Linked DNA regions of Callithrix jacchus. The protein of the gene in region 2 interacts with the protein of the main gene of each other region in a pairwise test. Links are inferred from orthologs where the notes say so. Each region holds a gene or a part of one and is shown on either strand. Other genes may lie near its edges.

The links.
Region 1: the proteins of ITSN1 (region 2) and KIF5A interact in a two-hybrid assay, tested with the Homo sapiens proteins (2 studies listed by BioGRID and IntAct). The link is inferred for Callithrix jacchus from reciprocal best matches to the Homo sapiens genes ITSN1 and KIF5A.
Region 3: the proteins of ITSN1 (region 2) and SNAP25 interact in a two-hybrid assay, tested with the Homo sapiens proteins (2 studies listed by BioGRID and IntAct). The link is inferred for Callithrix jacchus from reciprocal best matches to the Homo sapiens genes ITSN1 and SNAP25.
Region 4: the proteins of ITSN1 (region 2) and WBP11 interact in a two-hybrid assay, tested with the Homo sapiens proteins (2 studies listed by BioGRID and IntAct). The link is inferred for Callithrix jacchus from reciprocal best matches to the Homo sapiens genes ITSN1 and WBP11.

Annotation. Positions count from the first base shown.
Region 1 is NC_133510.1:62,146,361-62,152,463, reverse strand, and holds the start of KIF5A (kinesin heavy chain), read left to right. Parts: upstream 1-2,693; 5' UTR 2,694-2,900; coding exon 2,901-3,029; intron 3,030-6,103. UniProt on the Homo sapiens protein: Microtubule-dependent motor required for slow axonal transport of neurofilament proteins (NFH, NFM and NFL). Can induce formation of neurite-like membrane protrusions in non-neuronal cells in a ZFYVE27-dependent manner.
Region 2 is NC_133522.1:39,729,327-39,735,404, forward strand, and holds the start of ITSN1 (intersectin-1), read left to right. Parts: upstream 1-1,912; 5' UTR 1,913-2,123; intron 2,124-6,078. UniProt on the Homo sapiens protein: Adapter protein that provides a link between the endocytic membrane traffic and the actin assembly machinery. Acts as a guanine nucleotide exchange factor (GEF) for CDC42, and thereby stimulates actin nucleation mediated by WASL and the ARP2/3 complex.
Region 3 is NC_133506.1:17,324,423-17,330,630, forward strand, and holds the start of SNAP25 (synaptosomal-associated protein 25), read left to right. Parts: upstream 1-2,396; 5' UTR 2,397-2,516; intron 2,517-6,208.
Region 4 is NC_133510.1:8,529,150-8,534,723, forward strand, and holds part of WBP11 (WW domain-binding protein 11), read left to right. Parts: exon of another isoform or gene 1-364; coding exon 365-396; intron 397-1,739; coding exon 1,740-1,833; intron 1,834-3,687; coding exon 3,688-3,884; intron 3,885-5,290; coding exon 5,291-5,424; intron 5,425-5,574. UniProt on the Homo sapiens protein: Activates pre-mRNA splicing. May inhibit PP1 phosphatase activity.

The DNA.
Region 1 (6,103 bases), on a different chromosome or scaffold from region 2:
TGGGCTCCCAGGAATTAAATGACTAGATTAAATCATACAGCTAGTCATATTGTGACACAGCCAGGGTTTCAAAAACAACAAGAACTTTGCTGGATACTGCTTCTTATAAAAATAAAACAAAAATAACAATAAGTAAAATTTAGTAAATGCTTAGTGTATGTTAGGAATGAAAAAGTTAGGCAATCTTCTCAAGTAAGGGCTTTCAGATCATTTGAATTTCAGATAAGAAGTAGGTGTGTGTAGTATGGTGTGTGTGTGTATACTAACACAAAAAAAAATTATGTTCAAAAAATTTTTTTCTTATTTATTTATTTAGAGATAGAGTTTCACCATGTTAGCTAGGCTGGTCTTGAACTCCTGACCTCAGGTGATCAGCCCGCCTCAGCCTCCCAAAGTGCTGGGATTACAGGCATGAGCCACTGGGCCTGGCCCTGAATTCAAATTAAGCTGAGCATCCTGTTTTTGTTTTTTGTTTTTCAAATCTGGCAATCCTATCTGAAGTTCATAAATAGGTAAGCGGTGTCTCCATGTCTGTCTGAACACTTCGTGCTCTTAACCATTTCGTTTATAGTTCTCAGACTTTAATTTATTTTTAAATTTTTAAAAATTTTAAAATTTTGTGGATACACAGTAGACATATGTATTTATGGGACACATGAGATATTTTGATACAGGTATGCAACGTGAAATGACCATATCATGGAGAAGAGGGTATCCATCCTCTCAAGCATTTATCTTTTAAGTTACAAATAATCTAATTATACGCTTAAGTTATCTAAAAATGTACAATTAAGTTATTCTTGACTATAGTCAGCCTACTGTGTTATCGAATAGTTGGAATTATACTTTCTATTTTTTTTGTACCCATTCACCATCCTTACTTCCCATTCTCAGACTTAAATTTCATGATTCAATAAAATTAAAACAACTACCAATCTTGAGGACAGACATAGCATAGCATTGTTACTTTCTATCACCATCATTATTTGGTAGAAAAGCAGGAAGGACACACTCAGAATAAAAGACAGTCCTTTGAAACTTATCAAATCTAGCTTTATTAAAAAAAAAAAAAAAAAGAAAGAAACCAAAAAACTCACATATCGTTCTTTTGGAGGTGGGGTGTACTCAGTGAACTTTTGTCTCTCTGACCGGTGACCCTCCAAGGACTGGCATTTTAAAACTCCTTTACAGATGCCACCTTGGAGCCCCTGGGAACCCAAGGATGGGATGTTTCCCAAGATGTTTCCTGAGCTTGCAGGATGCTGCAACACTTAGAAATCGTGCCAAACCAAGTGACTATTGAGTTCTCCTCCCCAAGCCTCTATCCCTTTCTCCATAGTCCTACTGCTTTCCTATCCTGTTCCTGATGTTGGACTCTTTTCTTTCAGTTCCCTTAAGACTCAAGGTGGGTTAGAGGTGTAGCCCCAATGTGGGAAACCCCGCTCAGCTGAGTTCTGAGTAGTTAGGTCTTGTCTGGCCAGGCTATCAGAGTCTTACTTTTGTCCCACAGTGTCTAAGTGACCTTAACACTCACCAGACAATTGCTGAGCAGAACTTTCCTCTCCTCCTCCCTTCTCCAATCCACCCCATCCTTCCCCTTGGCCTAGAACCTCAACTTCTGCAGTCCAACTCTGTTGGTCAGCAGAGGCCTGTGACGTGGAGAAAAATCAATTTGGCCAGCTTCTTGGTGGTTCTTTCCAGGGGCTGCAGCAGGAGTCTGACCCAAAGGCAGGAAGGACAAGGAATCTCTGGGCTTGGCACATCTTTTTTGGGGGGTGTTGGGTGGGAGCAGGGGCTGAGGTATTGGGACTCTATCCTCCAATGGTTACTGAGAGAGGAAGAAACACACACACTGAACTTGCCTGAAACCCAAATGCAGGTGTTTGCCGTAGATTTCAAAGTCTCTCTGGCCTTACACATCTCCATCATTGCCCCTCCTTCACTGCTTTCTGACTCCCTTTCTCTTGCAAAAATGTTTCCTGCCCACCTTAATCCCATCCTCAACCAAGGACACAAAAATAAGAATTGTGTCTGGTTTTGAATTCCCATAACCCAGAATGGGAGTTTGTCTTCCCTGAAACTGGGGACCTGGTGTGAACCTTGGGGAGACAGTAGAGTGCACCTTTGGATGTGGAAGGGGAAGGGAGTAGCCAGAACCTCCCTGACACTCATCTGACACCCACCTCCATAGAACTACAGGCAGCGGTCCCCCAGAAGGCTGAGTGGGTTAGGAGTCCAGCTTCCATGCCTGTGGGGTGTGGGATGGGGTAAGGGGAGAATGAGAAGTGTGACCCCAGTTTGGAGAGAGGACTGTGACGGGTTGGGGGATGCCCTGGAATAAAGGGAATGGGAGATCTGCTGACACTTTTCCCTACACAGGCGACAGGCCCATCTCAGTCCCCTTATCCTTTCCAGGGTGTGGAGTCTGAGGGAGGGACAAACGGGTCGGGGGTGTGGGGTGGGATGCAGTGAGTGAGTTGGGTGGGGAAGGGTCTAGGGCAAGGTTATCTCCCAACGTTAGGGGTGAAGGAGGGTGGAGAGGGGCGGTGAGGTCCCACCCTTCGGGGGTCGACGTCGAGCCAGCGCCCCCAGCGGAGGGAGCCCCGCCCCCGCTCCTCCATCGCGGCCCCGCCCAGGCCCGCAGCGCGGCGCTGCAGCGCGAGGGGCGGAGAGGCAGAGCGCCCGAGAGGACCAGACGCCCAGGTCGCCCGCATCCCGCTGCCGCAGGAGAGAGACAGCGCGTCCCGGCCCTGCTCCCCAGGCTTCGCTCGGACGCCCTCAACTCTGCCCCCAGAGACCGAGCACCTGTCTCGCCTTGGCCTCAGCTGAGCGCCCCCTCCTCTGGAGCACACACCATCCCTGCAACCAAGAAGTGTCCCAGCCCCACGCCGGCGACGACCATGGCGGAGACCAACAACGAATGTAGCATCAAGGTGCTCTGCCGATTCCGGCCTCTGAACCAGGCTGAGATTCTGCGGGGAGACAAGTTCATCCCCATTTTCCAAGGGGACGACAGCGTCGTTATTGGGGTGAGTGTTGCCCAGGAGGGAATTCGGGGAGGAGGCAGGTGATCGAATCTTTCCCCCACGCAGAGCCGTCGTCTCTGCCTGTCCCTCTGCGCCCCCTCCTCGCCGCTCATCCTTCATCCTCTTCCCCGCAGCCCCTCCTCTCCCCTGCATCAGGATGGCTGGGTGTGGCCTGGCCAGGCCAGCGGCCGAGTCTCCGCAGAGTGCAGGGGGCTACTTCTCTACCATTGGGAGACCCAGCTCCCCTTTGCTGCTCCCTGCAGCATCTCCGTCCCTTAGAGCCAGTCCTGTGTTTTTCTGATGTTTTCCCCTTCTCCACCTCCCCTCCCCTAGAGAAAGCTAATCTTCCCTTTGTTATTGGCTCAGATCTCTACCCCCACCTCTCAGGAAGGTAGGGGTAAGACTATTGGGTGGGTTAGATGGGAGGTGAACAGTCCAGGGTCTCTGCAGAGGTGTGGATGGGAGTGGGCTCTAAGATCAAACCCTCCATCACTCCCTAAAGTAGTTATAGCCTGAATTTGTGTGTGTGTGTGTTGGGGGGAACAGGTCTGATGAAGGGTTTACTGGGAAAGAAATGCATTGATGCCACACCCAGTCTTGGGGGGAGCCTCTGGAATCCTAAGATCAGGTTTGCCTTTCAGTCTCAGGTACAGTAGGAAGAGGGTTTCAGATTCCCCAACTGACCCCTCAAAGAAAAATACCCACACCCCGAGATCCTAGTAAGTACTTGCTTATTCATCCTTTCTCTTGAGGATCCAATAAAAAGTAGCCATCCACCTCTACATCATCAGGACAGCCCTACCCAAGGATAATATCTTAAAGGAACTAATATTTACAGTGGGCATGTTATTCTATGTAACCCCCAAAACTATACTTGGAAGTAGTATCAATATTTCCATTTTACAGATGCAGAAATTGAGGCCCAAAGAACTTGGTTAACTTTCTCAAGGTCATGCCATAAATCCATGGATCTGAACCTCAATCTGTGACTGCAAACCTCCCATCTCTTCCTATCACATTGTGTCCCCAGGTTTCTGTTCTGCACTTTCATCTGTAATGGCCCAAAGGGAAATTCTAGGCCTTGTGCACGTCCCCTTTCCTAGGTTGGTAGGGACCTCAGGCTGTGTGTGGGGAGAAAGGATGTGGGGTGAATCCTGTAGGACTTGAGGGGTGCTGGGCCAGGAAGTGAAAGTCAGCATGAGAAGGGAGGGGCAGGTATGAGGGCAGTCAAGGTCAGAGGTGCTACTTGTGTATCTTTATCCACAGTGCTTGGCACAGAGCACCTGGATACAGGTTTGTTAAAGGAATGAAGGAAAGAAGGGGAGGAAGTCTGGGCCTTCTGAGTCAGTGAGAATGGGACTTTGAGTAAACATACCTCTGGGGAGACCTGCTTACCGGTCCCCCACGGCCCCAGTCTGTCACCACCCTGCACCTTTACCCGCACTGTTAACTCAGATGAGTGCTTTTGTCTGTGTCTCTGTGTGTGTGTGTCTGTATATGTGTTTGCCACATGGAGAGGGCCTCTGTTTCTCTTTGCTTCAGGGACCTCTCCAGCCCTGCAGTCTGTTCAGTCTGGATGGGCTAAAAACAAACAAAACAACAACAACAGAACAATTCCTGGTTCAACTCTGGAGGCCCCTCTCCGAGTGTCCTGGGCAGCCAGCATGAGTTGTGAGAGTGGGAGCTTAAGGTCCCCCTGAGAGAAACGGGCGGGCGATAATGGGGAGCAAAACTTCTAGGCCCAATTTCCTTGCTCTGAAAGATTTTTCCAGTAAGTCTGAACCAACTCCTTTAGGCTCTCTGAGCGCTGGAATGGGGCAGGGGGTGATGTTGGGAAGAGGGGTTGTGGTGTCTCAGTCATTGGCCCAGCTAAACAGGAGAGACACAGTGGGAGGTGGGCGAAGAGGAGGGATGAAAAGATGCCCAAGGCCCCCTGCCGATTCCATCTCAGGTTCACAGCTGGAACTTCCTTGTCTGTTTTGCCTAATATCTGTAGGGCTGTACCTTTGTCTTGCTCTGTGTCTTCCCTCACCCTAGCCCTCCTTGTCAATCTCTTACTTGAAGATAAATGCTTACAGGGGCCATTTGTCTCAGGCAACATCCTTGGAGTTTGCTTTTTCAGACTTACTATTCATTCGTCATTTAGGGAATGAGGGTTACAGGAGACATGATTTTTAGGAGACCCTGGAGGGTCCCAACAAGGGAAGGAAACTCCTGCTCCTTTTTCTCTTTTCTCCTCTAGTTCTCTTTGGGGCCCACCAGGTTGGGAGCCGGCTTAGGAATTAATGGAGGAAGCTGCTTCAGGATGTCTGGGAAGGTGCGGGAAGAGCCAAGGTGGGAGGGAGAACCTTTCCCAGTGCAGCCCCTGCTCCTTCCTGTGACTGCTCTCCCCTTCGCCTCTGCAGCACTGCGGCTAGTGCTGAGCTTCAGAGTCCCTTCCCTTCGTGGGCTTTGTTCTGCTTGCTAGAGGGTAGGAGAATAAGCGGGAGAGACAGCTCCATGTGCCTTTTTTCTCCCCCACTCCTCTGACTTCTTCCCAGAACCTGGGGGATGGGGCTTAGCCAAAGTTAATGGCCTGAGTCATAGTAGAAGGGTGTCTGGGTCACTGTCTCTGTGTGGTGCCCATCTTGTTTTGCTCTTTGCACACTCAGAATCGAGTGTTGTTTTTGCACCAGACCTATTTAGGTGTCTCTCTGTCCTCTGCCTTGGTCTTTCTCAGCAGTGTCCCAAAACCTGCCGTCTGGGCTGCTGCATCTGTACCAGATGTGGGAGGGATGACAGTGAAGAAACACACATGTGTGCGCGTGCACACACACACACACACTCTCTCTCTCTCTCTCTCTTTCTCCTTCATTCAAGTGTCCACACCTACCTCCCTCAGGTCTCCTGATGGTTAAGTGGGTTCTTAATGCGAGAAACTCAGACCATTGATCCCTCACTTGGCGAAGCTAGGTTGGGACCTGCAGGGTTATTGGAGAAGAATCTGTATTGTTTGGAGTGGCCTGGGATATCTGAAGTGGGGAGCAGGGCTCTCCTTTGCTTCGGGGGAGTCTCATAAACAAAAATGGAGAGGGGAA
Region 2 (6,078 bases):
GCACTCAGGGCAACATCATACTTTCAGAAATGTTGGCTATTTTAACTATTATTTCTGTAAGTTGGGCATATTTCAATTACAGAGAATCTCTAAAGTAGTTCTGAAGCCCATCTCACAGAGTTGCAAAGGGTTTCGTCAATGCAACCTTACTTTTCACACCTTTTAATTTCTGCAGTGGGCTACGGTAGCAGCCACTAGCACAGGTGGCTACTGAGCACTCCAACTGTGTCTAGTCGGAATTGAGATGTGCTGGAAGTGGAAAATACACATCAGATTTCGAAGATTTAATACGAAGAACGTAACATCTCAATTTAAAAATATTTGATGAAGCGATGAAACAGTAATGTCTCGGATATACTGGGCTAAATGAAGAATATAATTAAAATTAATTTCACGAAGTTTCTTTTCACTTTTTAAATGTAGCTACCCCAAAACTTAAAATGACATAAGGGGCTCGCAGTATATTTGTACTGGACAGAGTTTAGGTAAAACCTTGCTGCTCATAACGTGGACAGCCACACCTGGGAGCTTCTTAGAAACGCAGATGTTTCTGGCTTCTACCCAGACCTACTCCAAGGCAATGCTTACATCTCGCTCCAGATTATTCCGCTGTTTAGCGGAATGAAGAGGGCAGATCTGGCTCGAAAGCCACATACAGCGAATAATTACTAACTGCTTTCCGAATACAGCAAAGGGATGAGGAAGAAAGAAGTGGCTGAGAAGAAGTAACAGAGGAAGAAAAACACACTCAAATTCTAGAAACAAGCAACAGTGGAGAAAGACTCAACCTGGGAGATTGAGTGGAAGGGCACTCCCAGACCTCGGTCTCCATAAAAGTAGAGGGAGATGCAAACTGAGATAAGACCTACAATCAAAACCCGTCAAGGTCCAGGAAACTGTCCCTCAAATCTAGTCTTACCCGCCCCTCAGCGGCCTCAGCTAAGCTAGGCCTGGGCCCGAAAGAGTCTCCGGTTGGGGTTCGACGCGAACCACCATCCTCCCCAGGGCTGCACGGTTTCGTGGGGCATCTCTCCACCTTTCGCTTAAAGTCCCGTTTCTCAAGACACAGAACGCGTTTCCTGGGGCTCACCTGCCTCTGATCCGCCCCAACGGCCTGCACCTTCGCCACCGCCACCTTCAAGTCCTTCCGCAGAGAGCCCGCCCCCCGCTCGCATTGGTCAGGTGGCTCGTCACTCCTGAAGGGCGGGGTCGGACTTGCGAGGCTGTCGAGGACGCCATGGCAACCGGTCTCGAAACTACATCTCCCGGCAGGTTCCGCTCGGGGGCGGGGGAAGAGGCGAGGCACAGCCCTAAGGGCTACCAATAAATGGGCGAAGTGGGAATCGCCTGCATGGGTTCCGTTTTATGCAAATTCTAACTGAAGACCACACCCTTCCTCATTCCAACCACTGCCCCTGCCAACCGCTTTGGGTGGTGCTTCGCCTCTCTTTTCCTTTCCACATTATTCTCTCCTTTAAAACCTCCAATAATTAACTTAGTAAGTGCATCCTATCTAGCGTCTTGCACTGGAACGAGCAGATGCGCCGAAATCGTGGAGCAAAATCTCCATAAACCACGATAGGGCAACATCAGACAAGAAATCCCCGGTTTCGCCTACGTCGCGGGGAGAGGAGTGCTAATCTCGCCCCCCCCCTCAACGCCTGCTGATTGGCTCATTTGGCTTGTCACTGTTGTCTTACAGTTCTTTGGCTCTCCCTCCTTGGGTTTGCTCGGTGGGTGGGGCCAGCGGTAGGGGGCGGTGAGAAGGTGCGAGCCTCTTCTTCCGATTGGCAGGAGGTTTTTCCACCCACTTGTGGGCGGAGACGGGGGGGTGGATGGGGGCGGAGGAGGCAGCGGAGGGAGATGAGGAGATAGGCGGGAGCAAGGGAGCGAGGGAGGGAGAGAAGGAGGTAGAGAGGAGTGGAGGCGCCGGGGGAGGGAGAGCAGCTTGGTTGCTCCGTAGTACGGCGGCTCGCGAGGAAGAACCCCGAGCGGGCTCCGGGACGGACGGAGAGGCGGGCGGGGATGATTTGCGGGGCTGCGGCTCCTGCGTCCCTCCCCGCGGCGCGTGAGCGGCACTGATTTGTCCCTGGGGCGGTAGCGCGGACCCGCCCGGAGATGAGGTGAGGAGCGGGCTGCACGGCGGCGGCCTGGATCGCGGGCGGCGGCGGGGGCGGGGGTCGGCGCGGGGGTCGGCGCGATGGCCGCCCGGGGCGTCCGTCCCGCGCCCGGTGCTTGTCCCCCCGGCCGCCCTTCGCTCCTCGCCGCGCGCCCGGGAGACGGCAGCGGCCGCCCCTCCGCCTCGTCCTTCCCGTCCTCGGGGGCGGCGGCGGGGCGGCGGGGCGACGGGGCGACGGGCGGACCCGCACCGGGAGGCCGGGGGCCGCGGCGGGCCGTGGCGTGGCGGCCGCGGGACCGGCGTGGGGATGAATGGGCGCCGCGGCCCCGTCGCCGAGCGGGCTCTCTCCTCCCGCGGAGACCCCGGGCGGCCGCTTCTTCCCGGGCTGACCTCGCTGCCCTCGGCCACCGGCGCGGGGCGGCCCGGCCTCGCCTCCCGCTGGCCTCCCGGGGACCCGCGCTGGCGGGAGCGGCGCCGCCTCTGCCTGGAGCCCCCGCTCCTTCCTCGGCTCCTCACTCGAGAGCCTGCAGAATCCTGGGTCAGTGAAGGGCAGGCAATGCCGTTCGGCCCCAGGGCGCGCCGCGGGGCCGCCCCTAAAGGCATTTAACCGAGAGCGGCTCCCGCGCCCTGTGAGCGCGTCCCCGGGTCTGCCGCGTCCCTTCCCTTCTTACGCACCGACACGGTTTTGTGGTGTGGACCCAAGGCACAATTGCGGCCGCTTGCTTGCACGAGGGAATGCCATCAGAATTCCCAAGGAAAGGAAACCGGCGAGGAGTCGGCCGCACCTTCCTGCGCTTCTGCTTGCTTTGGGATTCGAAAACAACTTCGGAGATTACATTTCCTATGGGCAATCTTTTGTTTTGATTCAGACTCGAGAAGGCTTTGCTTTGGAAGAAATAGATTAGCTTCTTCTCTGTGGAGTTGGAGGCGATGGAGATTTTTATAGCCTCTTCAATATGAAAGTTTCCTCTAGAACTTTGCCATCATCGTGCTGTTCTGAGGGCAGCAGCAACCTGGAAATTTAAATATATGCAGGCTCCGGCCAGATGCGTTTCTTTGTGCCTGTCTATTGGCATTCTTCTCTTGCTGTTCCCTCTTGATCAAAACGTACAGATAATAAAAACAGAGCCAATGAGAGGGTGGATAATAACAGCAAATTCCATACAAACAAATGCCGCTAGAAATTCTCAGTTCTGTCAGCGGGGAGGCAGTTTTGCTAATCCCGTGGAACGGATGAAGAGAAAGGCACAGAGATCTCATGGATTATGTAGTGGACAGGATGTGAGGGCAGGAACTGGGGCCAGGACCCAGCAGGCCAGCTGGTTTGCATGGTGCCACTCTAAACCCCCAAAATATGAATAGATGGAATGTATTTTTTGGATATCTTTGTTTTTAGATGACTTTAAGGCTGAGAGTGCAGAAGCTTAAACACCCTTCATAGTTATTATTTCTTAGTTTATCTCTGAGAACAAAATATGTTTCTGTTTAAAATTTCTTTTACTGGTTTGCTGGAAACGTTATTTTGATGGGAGCTTCCTTGTTAGTAAAAACATTAAAAAATACATACATGTGAAAGAAAAATCCTTTCTGCAGGTGGATTTGTAAAGAATCCAGGGACTTTTAAGTCATATAAATTAAGGAATGAGGGACACTAATTTGATGATGGTGTTAAAATTACTTCAGACACCCTTAAGTAATCCATTAAAGATCATTTCTGATAGTATGATCTTTTTTAAAAAATGGTATTTCTTTATCTAAGAATGTATCTGTTGAAATTGCTGAGGCGCATGGTACCTTCAGAAATCTCCATTATTATTCTGCCTGAGTAAGAGAGGAGATGAACAAATTTTTAATGTACTTTGGAACCCTGTGGATTGCTCAGATACTAAGCATTGTGAAATAGGGCATAAAATAGGGTAGCAAGTTAGTTCTGTGAAATGTTTGTCTCTCTTGGCATTTTTTTTTCTTGGCAGTTGACTAGCAATTTTCTTTTTCTTAAAGCTTATCTTTAATATTGGTAGTAGAACCTCTGCTCAAGTTTATCTTTTCCCCAAATGCCTAGTTTGGGACAAACTATCAAGCTCCTGCAAGAGATGAAGGAGGAGCTGATGGTAAATGCCTTTACTTTTTTTTTTTAAGACAGGGTTTGGCTGTGTCACTCAGGCTGGAGTGTAGTGGCGCAATCATGGCACACTGCAGCCTCTAACTTTTGGGCTTCAGTGATCTTCCTGCCTCAGCTTCTGGTGTATCTGGGACCACAGGTGCATGCCACCATGCCCAGCTAGTTTTCAAATTTTTTTCTAGAGACAGGGTCTCTCTATGTTGCTCAGGCTGGTCTAAAAAGCCTGCCTTAAAGGATTCTCCCACCTAGACACTAGGCCTCCCAAAGAGCTGGGATTACAGGGATGAGCCACTGTGCCTCATCCAAATTCCCCTACTCTATTCTTTTTAATTTGCTAAAATTTGCGAATTGTAGAGAATTAATGACATGAGAGTTGGGGTTATATTACACACCTCAGATTATTCTGCCATAGAGCTATTGCCTTCTGAATGATCACTTCCTCCTGAATGGCTCCACTTACTGGTTGGGTTTCTCAAAGTGTGGACCACGGATCATTTACCTCAGTGTTAATGGAGGCACTTGTTAAAAATACAGGTTTTGGGCATGGTGGCTAAAGCCTGGAATCCCAACATTTTGAGAGACTGAAATAGGAGGCTAGCATGGGCCCAGGAATTTGAGACCACCTTGGACAACATAGAGAAACCTTGCCTCTGAAATAATTTAAAAAAAAAAAAAAAATGCGCTGGGCATAATGACTCGTGCCTATATTCCCAGCTCTTCTAGACTCTGGGGTGGGAGGATCTGGTTCACTTGAGCCCAGGAGATCGAGGCTGCAGTGAGCCATGATTGTCCTACTGCATTCTAGCCTGGACAACAGAGTGCCTGTGTCCAAAAAGTAAGTAAGTATATAAATAACATAAAAATAAATACAGGTTTCTGTCACCTCACCCGACAGCTGGAGGTGGAGCCCTGGAGTTGGTATTTTTACTGCCTTCTCCAGGAATTTCTCTTGCATAGGGAAGTTGGAAACCAGTGGCTTCCTTCTTGCTGAGCATCTCCTGAGACCTGCTTCTGAAGTGGATAGAAAGTTTTTCTTTTTCTTTCTTTTTTTTTTTTTTTTTTTTTTTTTTGAGACAGTCTTGCTCCGTTTCCAGGCTGGAGTGCAGTGGCGTGATCTCGGGTCACTGTAACCTCTGCCTCCCAGATTCGAGCAATTCTCCTGCCTCAGCCTTCCGAGTAGCTGGGACTACAGGTGCGCACCACCAGGCTCAGCTAATTTTTGTATTTTTAATAGAGATGGTGTTTCACCGTGTTGGCCAGGATGGTCTCTATCTCTTGACCTCGTAATCCGCCCACCTTGGCCTCCCAAAGTGCTGGGATTACAGGTGTGAGCCACTGCGCCTGGCCCGGATAGAAAGTTTTTCAAGTGGCAGGTTAAGTTTTATGCCTTAGGTTGCTAATAAAAAACAATTGACCATGACCTTCAGCTACATAATTGTACCTGTCATGTACCTTTCAGAAGGCAAAGGCTTTGGTTCACCACTGTACCACCAGGGCCTAAAACAGTGCCTGGCGGAACTCAATTAAATGTTTGTTGAGTGAATACATAAACTACATTGCAGTGAGGCCAATCTTTTTTTTTTTTTTTTTTTTTTTTTTTTAAGAGACAGAGTGTCACTCTGTTGCCCAGGCTGGAATGCAGTGGCATGCTCTCAGCTCACTGCAACCTCCGCCTCCAGGGTTCAAGCAATTCTCTGCTTCAGCTTCCCAGGTAGCTGGGATTACAGACACCCACCACCATTCCTGGCTAATTTTTTTGTATGTTTACTAGAGACGGGGTTTCACCATTTTGGCCAGGCTGGTCTTGAACCCCTGACCTCATGCTTTGAAATCCTGA
Region 3 (6,208 bases), on a different chromosome or scaffold from region 2:
AATGCCTTGAAAGAGTCTGCCTCGAAACAGTCTACCTCTCTCTTCCTATCTGTCATTTTAAAAGATGTCAGTGTGGGGCATCAGCAGTTGAAAACTCAGAAACCAAGCCCGTCCTTCCCTGTGACTTCCACATAGCTTTTGCCTGCAGGAGAAGCCTCCATCACTGACATACTTGCTTTTTAACTTTTTTTTTTTTTTTTAAACCTGGAAAATCCCCCACCTCCTCCATTCCTTCACAAAACTTTCTGCCTGAATGATTTCTAGTCTGAGGGCCATACAGATATTTTGTTTCTCTCTCTGCAGGTTGTTTTTTTCTCTTCAAACTTCCGCATGCTGCCTTTTTTTAAAGTGTCACATTTTGGGGAAAAAAAATCTGACTATAAAGGATTTTGCAGTACATTGCTTTCATTGCCACTTTCCCCCTATTCCAGCTTGGTTTATAATGAAAGTAAGAGCCATAATCAGGAGACTTTTGACAATTAGTATCTAAGGACTTTGCAGATTTTCTTCTTTATTGTATGGAAATCTTAAGTGTTTAATGAATATTTAAGTAAAAAACTTTCAGCAACATGCCTTTTTTTTTTTTAGGAATATGGCTTTAATAAACATCCAAACACTGTTAATTATTATGGCAAACATTAATATGTCAAAAAAAAAAACTTTTCAGGCCAGAGAATCTTTAAGAAACAATGATGTCTACTGATTTCAATTAAAGGTATCCTTTATTAAATTCTTAAAAGCCCCACTCTTTCTAAACGCAGAGCCTTCACAACTCTTCTTCTTTTCCCCCCTCCCTGCTTCCCTCCCTCCGCAATAGAGTGCAATCAAAGGCCGTATTATTGCTTGAGCTTGGCTCTCAGGCCAGTGGGATGTGTGTGTGTGTGTGTGTGTGTGTGTGTGTGTGTTTGTGTGTGTGTGTGTGTTTGGTGGGGCAGGTGTGTGCAGGGGGAGAGGTTGCACGCCGTTTATCCAAACCCAGCTCTGAATGGTTTCTCCTAAGCGAGACAAGGATTTTCCATCTCCTAAAAGAGGCCATCAAGTTTTAACATTGCGAGGCACGACTTCTAATCACATCCTTCCCGGAAAAGTACAAACAGTTCCTCAGGCGAGGTCCCCCACCTCCCACGCGCTCCCCAGCCCTCCCTACCCGTGGAGAGCCCGGCGACAGCCTCCCCAACATCTGTGAATCATCCGGGAGGCGGCCACCGCCGAGCTATCCGCGCACCACCCCCTCCCCAGACCTGTGCACGGCCAGGAAGGACAGTTAGGATTGTTGCTTTATCATTATCATTTTTAATCTCTAATATGACCAGCACAAGTAGCCTTTGTCTCCCCGCCCTGATCTGAGCACCCAAGGGCCCCCGAGGAGGCCTGCACAGGTACTCAGTGAACCACCAGATTCGGCGGCGTCCCAGCTGTCCTTGTTTCTAAGCCCCCACCTCCCCCGGCGGTTAGGACGGTTTCCTCGGGGCATCCCTGACTCCGTAGGGTACCCCTAAGACACCCAGCACGCAACCCGAGTGCCGACTGCAAATTCCACCGAAAGCAGCGTCCTCCGTTTTTGCCCTAGGCAAACAACTCAACTTGTATCCCCCAGCCTTTGCAAACCTACGCTGGCTGGGCTAACTCCGCTTTCCTTCTCCTTCCCCCGACTCCTGCCACAGCTCAGAGAGCCTGGCTCTGACGTACTTCAAAATAACGTGCGCCAGCCTCGCTCCCCGGCTGACCACAGCAAAGGGAGCTGCAAGCCCTCGACGCTGCTTCGGTAACATGAAGAAGTCACTCATAAAAATAGCAACCCACGTAGCCTGGCCATATATGGAGCCGGCGAGGGTGGACGGGGATGCCCCTCCGGACCCTCTTTGGAGGAAACAAATCGCCGCTGAAAATTTCCCCCCACTCCTCCCATCACTACCTTTTACCCCTCCTCTACCTTCCCTTCTCCTTACATGACTCAACCACAGATTCCACTGAACGGGGTGGGATGTGGGGAAATATATATATACACATACGCGCACACACACACACAAATATATACATATAATACATGTATTATAAAGTATATACACACATGCATTTATACACATACGCATATGTACACATACAGGCACCAGAGAACATCAGCAATACAGTCGCGGGTTGAACGCATTTGCCCAAGACTGAGTGTTAAAATGGAGTCACAAGAATCGCCCCGTTCGGGTGTTTATAGAAGGCGAAAACACGGCTGTTTGCAGGGCAGCGCACGGGGAGCCGAGTCAAGCGCGCCGCAGCTCGGGCCCCGCCCCCGCCCCCGCCGGTGCCCCGCCCCCACTTCCTCCCGCCCCTCGCCGGGCGGCTATTAAAAGCTGCTGACGTCAAGACGGACGGCCATCTTTGATGAGGGCAGAGCTCACGTTGCATTGAAGACGAAACCTCGGGGAGGTCAGGCGCAGTCTTTCCTTCCCTCCCTGCTCCGCGGCTCCTCCACACTTGCAACCTGCAGAGGCCCGGAGAACACATCCACCCGAGAAGCCCAGGTAAGAAGCCCCCTCCCCAGGTCGTGGCTCTGGCTCGGGATGGCTGCATACCCAGAAGGGACAGCAGCTGGGCAGTCCGAATGGGCTTGGGTAAATACAAGTATTGGTGCACTTAGGGTGCGGTATTCCGTGTGTGCACGTCTGGTGGGGGCTTTATAAAGTGTTTTTGAGGTGAGCTGTCGGGGGAAGGGGAAACGGGAGCCCTGCAAATGGAGCGACAGGGAGGAAGAGCGAGGATACGTACCGAATAACTTACTCTTTTGAAACAGTAGTGGGACCCCCTCTTTCTTCCATTTTGCCATGCAGTTTTCAGAGATGTTTAGGGCTGTTGGGTTCCCCCCCCACGTCGTTCTAACCCTATTATTAGGACTGTTGTCTTTAGGGTGCTATTATCCAGGGAAGAATTAAGGGGGAGACAGGGTGTGGGTGCTGGGGAGGCTAAAGGAGAAGGGGGAGTTCCCGCCCCGGGCAAGCTGAGCTACTGCAGCGACAGCAGCCTCCATGCCCCGCGGACTTGATTTATGCCGCCTGCTCCACGTCAACTGCAGGCTGGCGGGGGGCGGGCGGGTCGTGCCGGGTGGGAGGGCTCTGCGGAGGGCTGGCGCGGGTGGGCTGGCCTCGGGGACTGCGGCGGCCCGCGCTCAGCACCCTGGATAGCAATACCAAGGGCTCGCGCGGGCGCCCTCGACCTTTCAGCACCGGGGACAGCGGTCCGGCCGCAACGCCGCATCTGCCTGCGGCAGAAACGCCTGGCCAGGGCTGGATGTGCCAGGGCTGGAGACCAAATTGTCTCTCTGAGACCCCGGTCTTACGGAGACTCTTAATAGAGCAGTCATAGTAGGTTAAAAGAAAACAAGAAAGAAATAAATCTTGCTCACAGAGACTCCTTTGCCGACAATTTTCTGCTTCCCTCCTCACCTTCATAGCTTCAACAAAATAATAATCTACTTGTGGAAATCTGTGTTGCCTTCTGCCTCTTATTTTAGGTAGAAAATAGATACATTTTTAAAAATATGCATTTATCCTTTAGCACGGTATCAAGGGTTTTGTTTTTTAACACAGAGTAGGTCTGTCTACAGATCTTGGGTGGGCATAAGTAGTGTATATATGAAGAAGCCAATGCTATCTGTTTATAGGGAGGATACGTCTCTCTACCTGTTTCCATTTGATAACAATTTGAGATTAGCTGAACTAAGCAGAATCAACTTTAAAAATGAATCCCTGTTTATTTTCCTTCTCCCCCCATCTTGCAATCAGGCATGAACACAAGTATTCATCCACAAAAACACATCTGATAAATATTACAGGTCCCATACTGTATAACCTCTTTGGCCATGGTTTCAGAGTTACTGGAAGTATTTCCTATCAGCATTGGTTATTGCAGGCTGATAGCTTCAGATTTTGAAAACATTAAGCCTGGTCTTCCTCAGGAGAATCCAACTATGTTCTTCAGGGTAATGCAGGTAAAGAACCATGGTGTTAGACTGGAACTGAACTCTGACCTAAAAGACCTACTGCAATTTCTCTTATGGCACTGCAGGATTTTGCTGAGGTGGTGATAACTACTTTAACCATTTTCCATTCTGAGGCTTGGAGCATCTGAGAAAGCAAAAGTCATCAGGGATACTTCTCTCTGTTTAATATAGATAAAACTAGCATAAAATGACCAGTATCAAAATTACGCCATTCGAGTAGTTAGCAAAAAGAGGGTAACAGCGTCATATGTAAGAATCTATACAACACATTAAAGAAATGCTATAATGATCCCCTTAAAGGACCCCAAATTAGACCCTGGATTGTGTTTAGATAGTCATACCTCCAATCTTCCGTAAACTACAGATACTAAAGTTCCCTGTTCATATACAGAAGGCGATTTCATTCCTAGCTATTCAATTATTTCCTAGTGTTTTTTTCTTTTTGTGGATGACCATGTGTTTCCATGTATGTATATGTTGATCTGTTATTGTGCATGGATGTAAAATTATTCGAGTGGACATTTATATAAGAGTATGTAAATGTATAAAAGAAGTTTAAAACTCTGCATCTGCAGACAAAATAAATAAACAACTGTGTTTTAGCGGTGAGAGAAGAGAAGAAAATATGGGCAGGAATCTTTAAAAATGCTTTAACTTCATGCTGCATGTCCAGACAGCTCTCTGCGTAGTTGCGTCAAATGAAAAGCCTAATGCTGCCAGAATTACGTGCTTGGACATTAGCAATTACTGCTGGGTTTGTTTGCTAGTGGAAAACTGGGAAGGAGGGGGGGAAGTAGAGGACTGCAGTAAAGATGGCAAAGGGCACAGAGCTGAGGGGAAAAAGCAATTTGCACAATTAGAAAGCTAATTTTAGAATAGCTTACTGAGAAATTTAAAAAATATATAATTGAACTATGTATCTAACATTTATATCATTGACAAGCTTCAGGGGGAAAAAATAGAGAAATTTCCTATTTTAAGTTTGAATTTTTAAAATCCAGGGCAATGCGGTGAGAAGAGGCAGGCGTAGATGGACGTAGGATGAGCCAAGAGTCATTCACACAGACCCTCCGGTGCCTGTTTTTGTTCATCGACATTTACTGCATTACCACCTCAACGTTCAAATTACAAAACAACTTACAATCCTCTTAACCTCTTCATGGCAAAATCTCCCCAAAATTTACAATTTTATTTTACTTTGTTAAACACGCACGACCACACATGCACAAACACAATACAAACTACCCCTTAATTAGCTTGTCTAAAGACATTCCTAAGCTCTAAATGTTAACCCTTGAGTGAGTGTTATCAGCTGAAAGACATATCTCTGCCTGTGACACCTAGAAGCTGCGTAGCAGTCAGCCTTCAGCCTAACAGCGTAGGTTTTGACAATGAGTAAAAATGAGAAAAAGAATTTGAGTAAGAGGTTGAGAGAGGAGACATGAAGAAGAAAAACAGATAATCTGCTTTTTAGATAATGCACTGTGAATAAACAATGTTTCTCACATTATGGGACTGCTTTACAATTCTATAAAGGAAGGAAAAATCCATGTTTTAAGCCTCAGCACTAGAAACATTTCTGCAATGTCATCCCTTGTCAGCAAGGACCAACCGGATAGAAAGATATTGATCAACTTGTATGCACCAGATAAATAAATGAATCCCATGGGAGATATAAAATCTCATGGTTTTGCCTTGACCTTAATAAGTTTAGTATCTAGCAATCTTAATAAAAGCAATAAACAATAAGTTAATAAATAAAACCAGAATGAAAATGCAATAAAACATGAGAAGAAAAATTATTATGATATATGTGATTAATTTCCAAGTGAATGTGACCAAAAATAGGGAACATAAATTCAAGAGGGCAATATCACAGTAGAGTGGGACCACCTGAGAGAAGAGGCAGGCCTTGAGGTGGCTTTTGGAGCTTGCAGAGAGGTGGGAGAATTCTGCTAAGTTGAAGTCACAGCATATGCAAAACATCACATTAGGCAAGCCCACTCTACAGTTAGCAAACCCTGAAAATGCCCGTCAATTTGGGTGGAGTAAGAAGCTTGGAGGAAATAGGCTAGGATGGAAAGTTGGAGCCTTCTGTGGAAGGCTTTGAATGTCAAGCTAAGAATTTGATGCTATATCCTCTACAGTTTATTTCTGAGCAGAAGCTGAAAAAACAATATGACCAGGTCCTTCTTAATATCCAGAAATTGCTATTAA
Region 4 (5,574 bases), on a different chromosome or scaffold from region 2:
CAAATAAATAAATTAGTAACAATATTTTTCAAATTTGATTGACTTGCACAGTAGAATTGGCTGAAAGCTTTCTCTTTGTATTTGAAATTTTGAGCAAATTAGTTTTGCAAGCCCTTGTTTAGCATTTTATGTTATCCTTTTCCTTCAGACTCATAGTTGTTTTTTATGAAACATTTAAAATGTCTTCACATTTTTGTCGTAATTTGAGGGATGCTATTGGCATGTAGTGAATAGAGGCCAAAGATGCTGCTATTTTACAGTGCATACTATAACTCCCCACAGTTAAGACTTGCCTGTATTAAATTGGAGGAAATGCTAACGTTCAAGATTCAAAAGTTTTATTATATCTCCCTCTCTTTTAAAGGAAAGGAAGCCCGGAAGAGAGAATTAAAGAAGGTATGATTTCAGAAGCGTCTTGTAAAACTTTAAGTATTGTTTGGCACATCTTGTGATTTGGGATTAGTGGGTTTCAGAATAACGTTTCTAATTTTATGAGAAAAGATGCTTTATGCTTTTTATAAAAACTGTGAAATAAACTAAGCCAAAATTTACTAAGGAACTGAAGTAACTTTGCAGAGAAGCTCACACAGGTTATAATGATATTTGACTACTTTTCCCAATGAGTTATATACTTTTGAAAATCATTCTTTTTTGTTATTTATTAAAACATAACTTTTAAAGCCTACTGATGAGAATGGAAATAAATATGATGCTAGACAGCTTTATATATCCATTTTCCTGATTAGCTGTATATTATGTATATTACATTAGCTTAACTATATATATTGGTTTCTAATATTTATAGCTATATTAGCTTTATGTATCCATTTTCCTAATTAGCATTTTCCTCTTAGCTGTTGGATTTGTGACTAAGTACTTCAACGGAATAAGAAAGAATTTGCTTTATAGTATTGTGCCTTAATACATAGAAGCGACACAGATTTTAAATAATGTTCAATTGTGTCTTCATGTTTAGCATTAAATTCTGCAAAATTTTTAAATCTTTTTTTTTTTTTTTTGAGACGAATTCTTGCTCTGTCACCCAGGCTGGAGTGCAGTGGTGGAATCTCGGCTCATTGCAACATCTGCCTCCTGGGTTCAAGCAGTTATCTTGCCTTAGCGTCCCAGGTAGCTGGGACTACAGGCACCTGCCACCACGCCTGGCTAATTTTTGTATTTTTAGTGAGACAGAGTTTCACCATACTGGCAGGCTGGTCTCGAACTCATGACCTTTTGGTCTGCCCACCTCAACCTCCCAGAGTGCTGAGATTGCAGGTGTGAGCCACTGCACCCAGCCGAAATATTCTTTATATAATTTCAGCACTTAAACCTTTGAGCTTTTTTTTTTTTTTTTTTTTTTGATAAAGAAAATTTTGGAATTCAGCTAGCAGAGGTTTTAGAACAGGGGGCAGGAACAATCACCCGAAGTCTTTAAGAAAATAAGAGGTAGAAAAAAAAGAAATTTAAAGTATGTATGTGTGTTTAAGTAACTGCTAAAGATCTCACAGAGTTAAAAGAAATGCTTTCCTAAGAAAGCACATCTTAAAAATAGCATTCATCTTTTTGAAAGGTCTAAACGTTTTTAAAGCAAAAAAAATTACATAGCTGTTTCTGGTGGTTGAAACAAGTGATCAGAAGCCAAGGAGTTCAAAATTCTGTTTAGATTCTTAAAGCAAGTTGAAATAAAACTCATGAGTGTCTGACTTGTTGACGTTCTGCCCCTCTTTTATTTTTATAAGAACAAAAAACAGCGCATGATGGTTCGAGCTGCCGTTTTAAAGATGAAGGATCCAAAACAGATTATCCGAGACATGGAGAAATTGGATGAAATGGGTAAGAATTTACAAACAGGCAGCTGTAACAGTCTGGTACATACAGAGGCAGACAGGTAATGAGTGAAGCAGCATAGGCGTAAGTAAAACAGAACAGCGCAATAGCATTTGATGCTTGGATTTAATGTTAGTTTCGGGAGGCAAAATGGAGTGCTAGAGGGCTGTTGCAAACTGGAGACCCCAGATACCAGAATGAGAGGGGAGCAGTCATTTGGCTTTCAGCTAATTGTTACTATGAGAGAACAGAAGCTCAGTTTGGCCAGCTTGCTTTTCAGGAAAAGAATCTGGTTTATGAAATAACTTTGGGTTTTTTGTTTGTCATCTTTTATTTAATGCTGGCAACTACCATGTAAATCTAAGTATCAGGCCACTGTGAATATAAGGCATTTCCAGTTTATCCAAATTTTTAGCAAAAATTTCCAATTTTTAGCAAAGATGTAGAAAAAAATCATCGAATACCTAAAACCAAATATATAAAATACTATACCAGGATTCTTTGCCTTTTTCACATTCCATAGCATCATTTTATTCACTCTCCATGTGCATCTTAAGTATCGCTGCTTTGATATAACTGGAATCACGTGAAATGGCTGGATGTTATGTTTTTTTGTATCCAAGTTTGAGAATCATTGATGCCGCTGCGGGAAACTTTACCCTAACCCACAGATACCCTTTCTGTTTGATATTAGAGCATGCAGAATATTTTATTTGTTTCTTTTAATAGAAATTTTCAAACATGCAGAAAATAAAATAGTCTAGTTAACTTCCATGTGCTTTTCACCTGGCAAATTTTTGCCACTTTGTCTTCTACCCTTTGTCATCTTTTTAAAATAGTATTTTAAAGTGATCTTTACAAGTTCTATGATTTGTCCAAAAACAGAGTAGTAAGTAAAAGAGATGCAGTGAAACTCCTCAATGATACATTAAATGGAGTACAAAAAATCCAGTCATGGCATTATGCTATTAAAGGTTTCTGAAATAATGTCGGAGAATCTGGGCAGCTAGCCTGGGTAAGAGTTCTGGGTTGGGCTCCAGAATTCCAGATCTTTCCCAGTTCAGCTATAACTGATCCTACTTCTTTATTCTGGTCTAAATATCAGCAAGGACAGTTACTTTCCTTGGGGAATCAGGAAATCCTTCATTAAATGACCCCAGATGTTATGTGTTGTTTTCAAAGGAGAAAATAGTAATAACTGAGATTTTTCGAGTAGTTATCTTGCTACACACCAGTTTTTTCCCACTTGTTTTCTAATCCTCACAATTTTTTAGGGTAGGTGTACTATCCCTATTTTACAGGTTAGGAAACTCAGGCACAGCGAGATTACATAGCTTTCTCAAGGTCGCACTGCTGTGTAGTGGCAAAGCTGAGATTAAAACTCAGACATTCAATGCTTTTCCTAATCACACTAGGAATAGTATGGTGTAAGACTACACCTTCTGGATTTGAATAAATTACCAAGATTAATAGTTAATAGGATTTAAAGAAGAAGATAAACTTGTTATTCTTTTTAAAAAAAAGGAAAGGGGTGAAGACAACACTATTCATCAGGGTTCCAGTTACAATTTATAAAACTCAGTACAGACTAGTTAAGGCAGAAAAAAGCATGCATTGGCTCTCTTAATTAAGAAGTCTTAATTTGGTGGCATTTCTGAGAAAAGTAAAATTAGTGGCCATCTAAAAGGGGTGGGGATTTTAATAAAATTGTAGTTCTTTGAATAAAGTTGAAAAGAGTATGTTTCGTATCTAGAGCTCTTTAAAACTTTTCACCATATATGGAGCTTTTTATTACGTAACCTATTGATAACTAATTGAAGTGGCCCCTCCTTTAATCCCATAATCTGCTTTTTCTCTCAGAGTTTAACCCAGTGCAACAGCCACAATTAAATGAGAAAGTACTGAAAGATAAGCGTAAAAAGCTGCGTGAAACCTTTGAACGTATTCTGCGACTCTATGAAAAAGAGAATCCAGATATTTACAAAGAATTGAGAAAGCTAGAAGTAGAGTATGAGCAGAAGAGGGCTCAACTTAGCCAATATTTTGATGCTGTCAAGGTAATCAAGGTGTTTTTTTTTTTTTGAGAGATAAACTAAAATATTATACAGATTGAGTATCCCTTATGCAAAATGCTTGAGACCAGAAGTGTTTTGGATTTAGGGGTTTTTCTTAGGGAGGGAGGGGGATTATTTGCATATATTTTGGGGACTGGACCTGAGTCTAAACATGAAATTTATATTTCATATACACATAGTCTGAAGATAATTTTGTGTATGAAACAAAACTGCGGCCCATCATATTACATCAGGTGTGGATTTTTCCACCATGCATCATATGGGAGTCAAAATGTTTAGGATTTTGGAGCATTTTAAATTTTCCATTAGGGATGCTCAGTTGTACTTAGATTTAAAAAGTTAATGGGAGAATGGATCATGCTGAACCTCTTCCTCATAGCAATTTCTTCTAAAACTAAACATGTCTACCCTATGAACCAGCAAATCTAATCCTCTGTATTTAAACAGGAGAAATTAATTCAAAACTAGGATCAGCCTAGTATTCACTAATAAGATAATGGATAATTAAAATGTAGTATATTTATACAATGGAATACTGTTCAGCAGTAAAAGGGATAATCTAATACTCAAAGCAACATGAAATATAACAAAAATTACCAATAAATCTCAACAAGCTAAGTTAATTTCATCGTTACAATTTCATTTCTAGAATACAACTAATCTGTGTACAATGTATGTACAACAATATATGTACAACTAATCTGTATTTCTAGGTACAACTAATCTATGCAGGAAAAAAAAATGTAGCAGTGGTTGCCTTGGGGGATATTAGAGGTGGATTGGGAAGGAGTATGAGGTATATGCATTTGTCAAAACTTGACTGAATTTGTACGTTTTGTAAATTTTACCTCAAAGAAGGGAAAAAATCAAATGCTGTTATTTCTGTAAAGGAGGTAATATGCCCCTCATTTTACAGATAAGGGCACAAGTTAACTTGCTTAGGTAGGCTAAGCTAATACACAACAGAAATTCAACATAGGCAAGCTCATGGGCCCAACCTGCGCCACTGGATATATACATTTGTTAGTTGACATGTATTATTTTTCTATCACCCTGCATATTAAATAGGGTAACTTTGGTGTTAGGTACTTTTAACAGTTGGATTTCTCTAAACAACAGCTATTTCGAATCATATACAAAAAGACTTACCTGATAGTAAGAGGAGAAAAAACAGCTGTGTTTTGGTGTTTTCAGTAATAAAGATTTCTTTCAATTCTTTGACAGTCTTTGGAAGTATTGACATGAGGCTATTTTTGTGGGAGTTTTTAGTGATATTTATGTTAGTTGGAAAGCATGTCTGAGTCATGAAACAGCTGACTTGTCATTTATAGCGTTTAGTTTATGGATGATTTTTTTATCGTAATACTGAAAGGTTCTCTCTGTTTCAGAATGCTCAGCATGTGGAAGTGGAGAGTATTCCTTTGCCAGATATGCCACATGCTCCTTCCAACATTTTGATCCAGGACATTCCACTTCCTGGTGCCCAGCCACCCTCCATCCTAAAGAAAACCTCAGCCTATGGGTAAGGAAGCAGTTCACAATCAGAGCTCATTTGGTAAAAGCACAAATTGACTGTCCACTACCAGAATTAATGCTGGGGTAAATAAAAGACAATGTGGATGTAAACAGTATGAAATTTGATTAAATGTAAAATAAGAAATCCCTTGAAAAT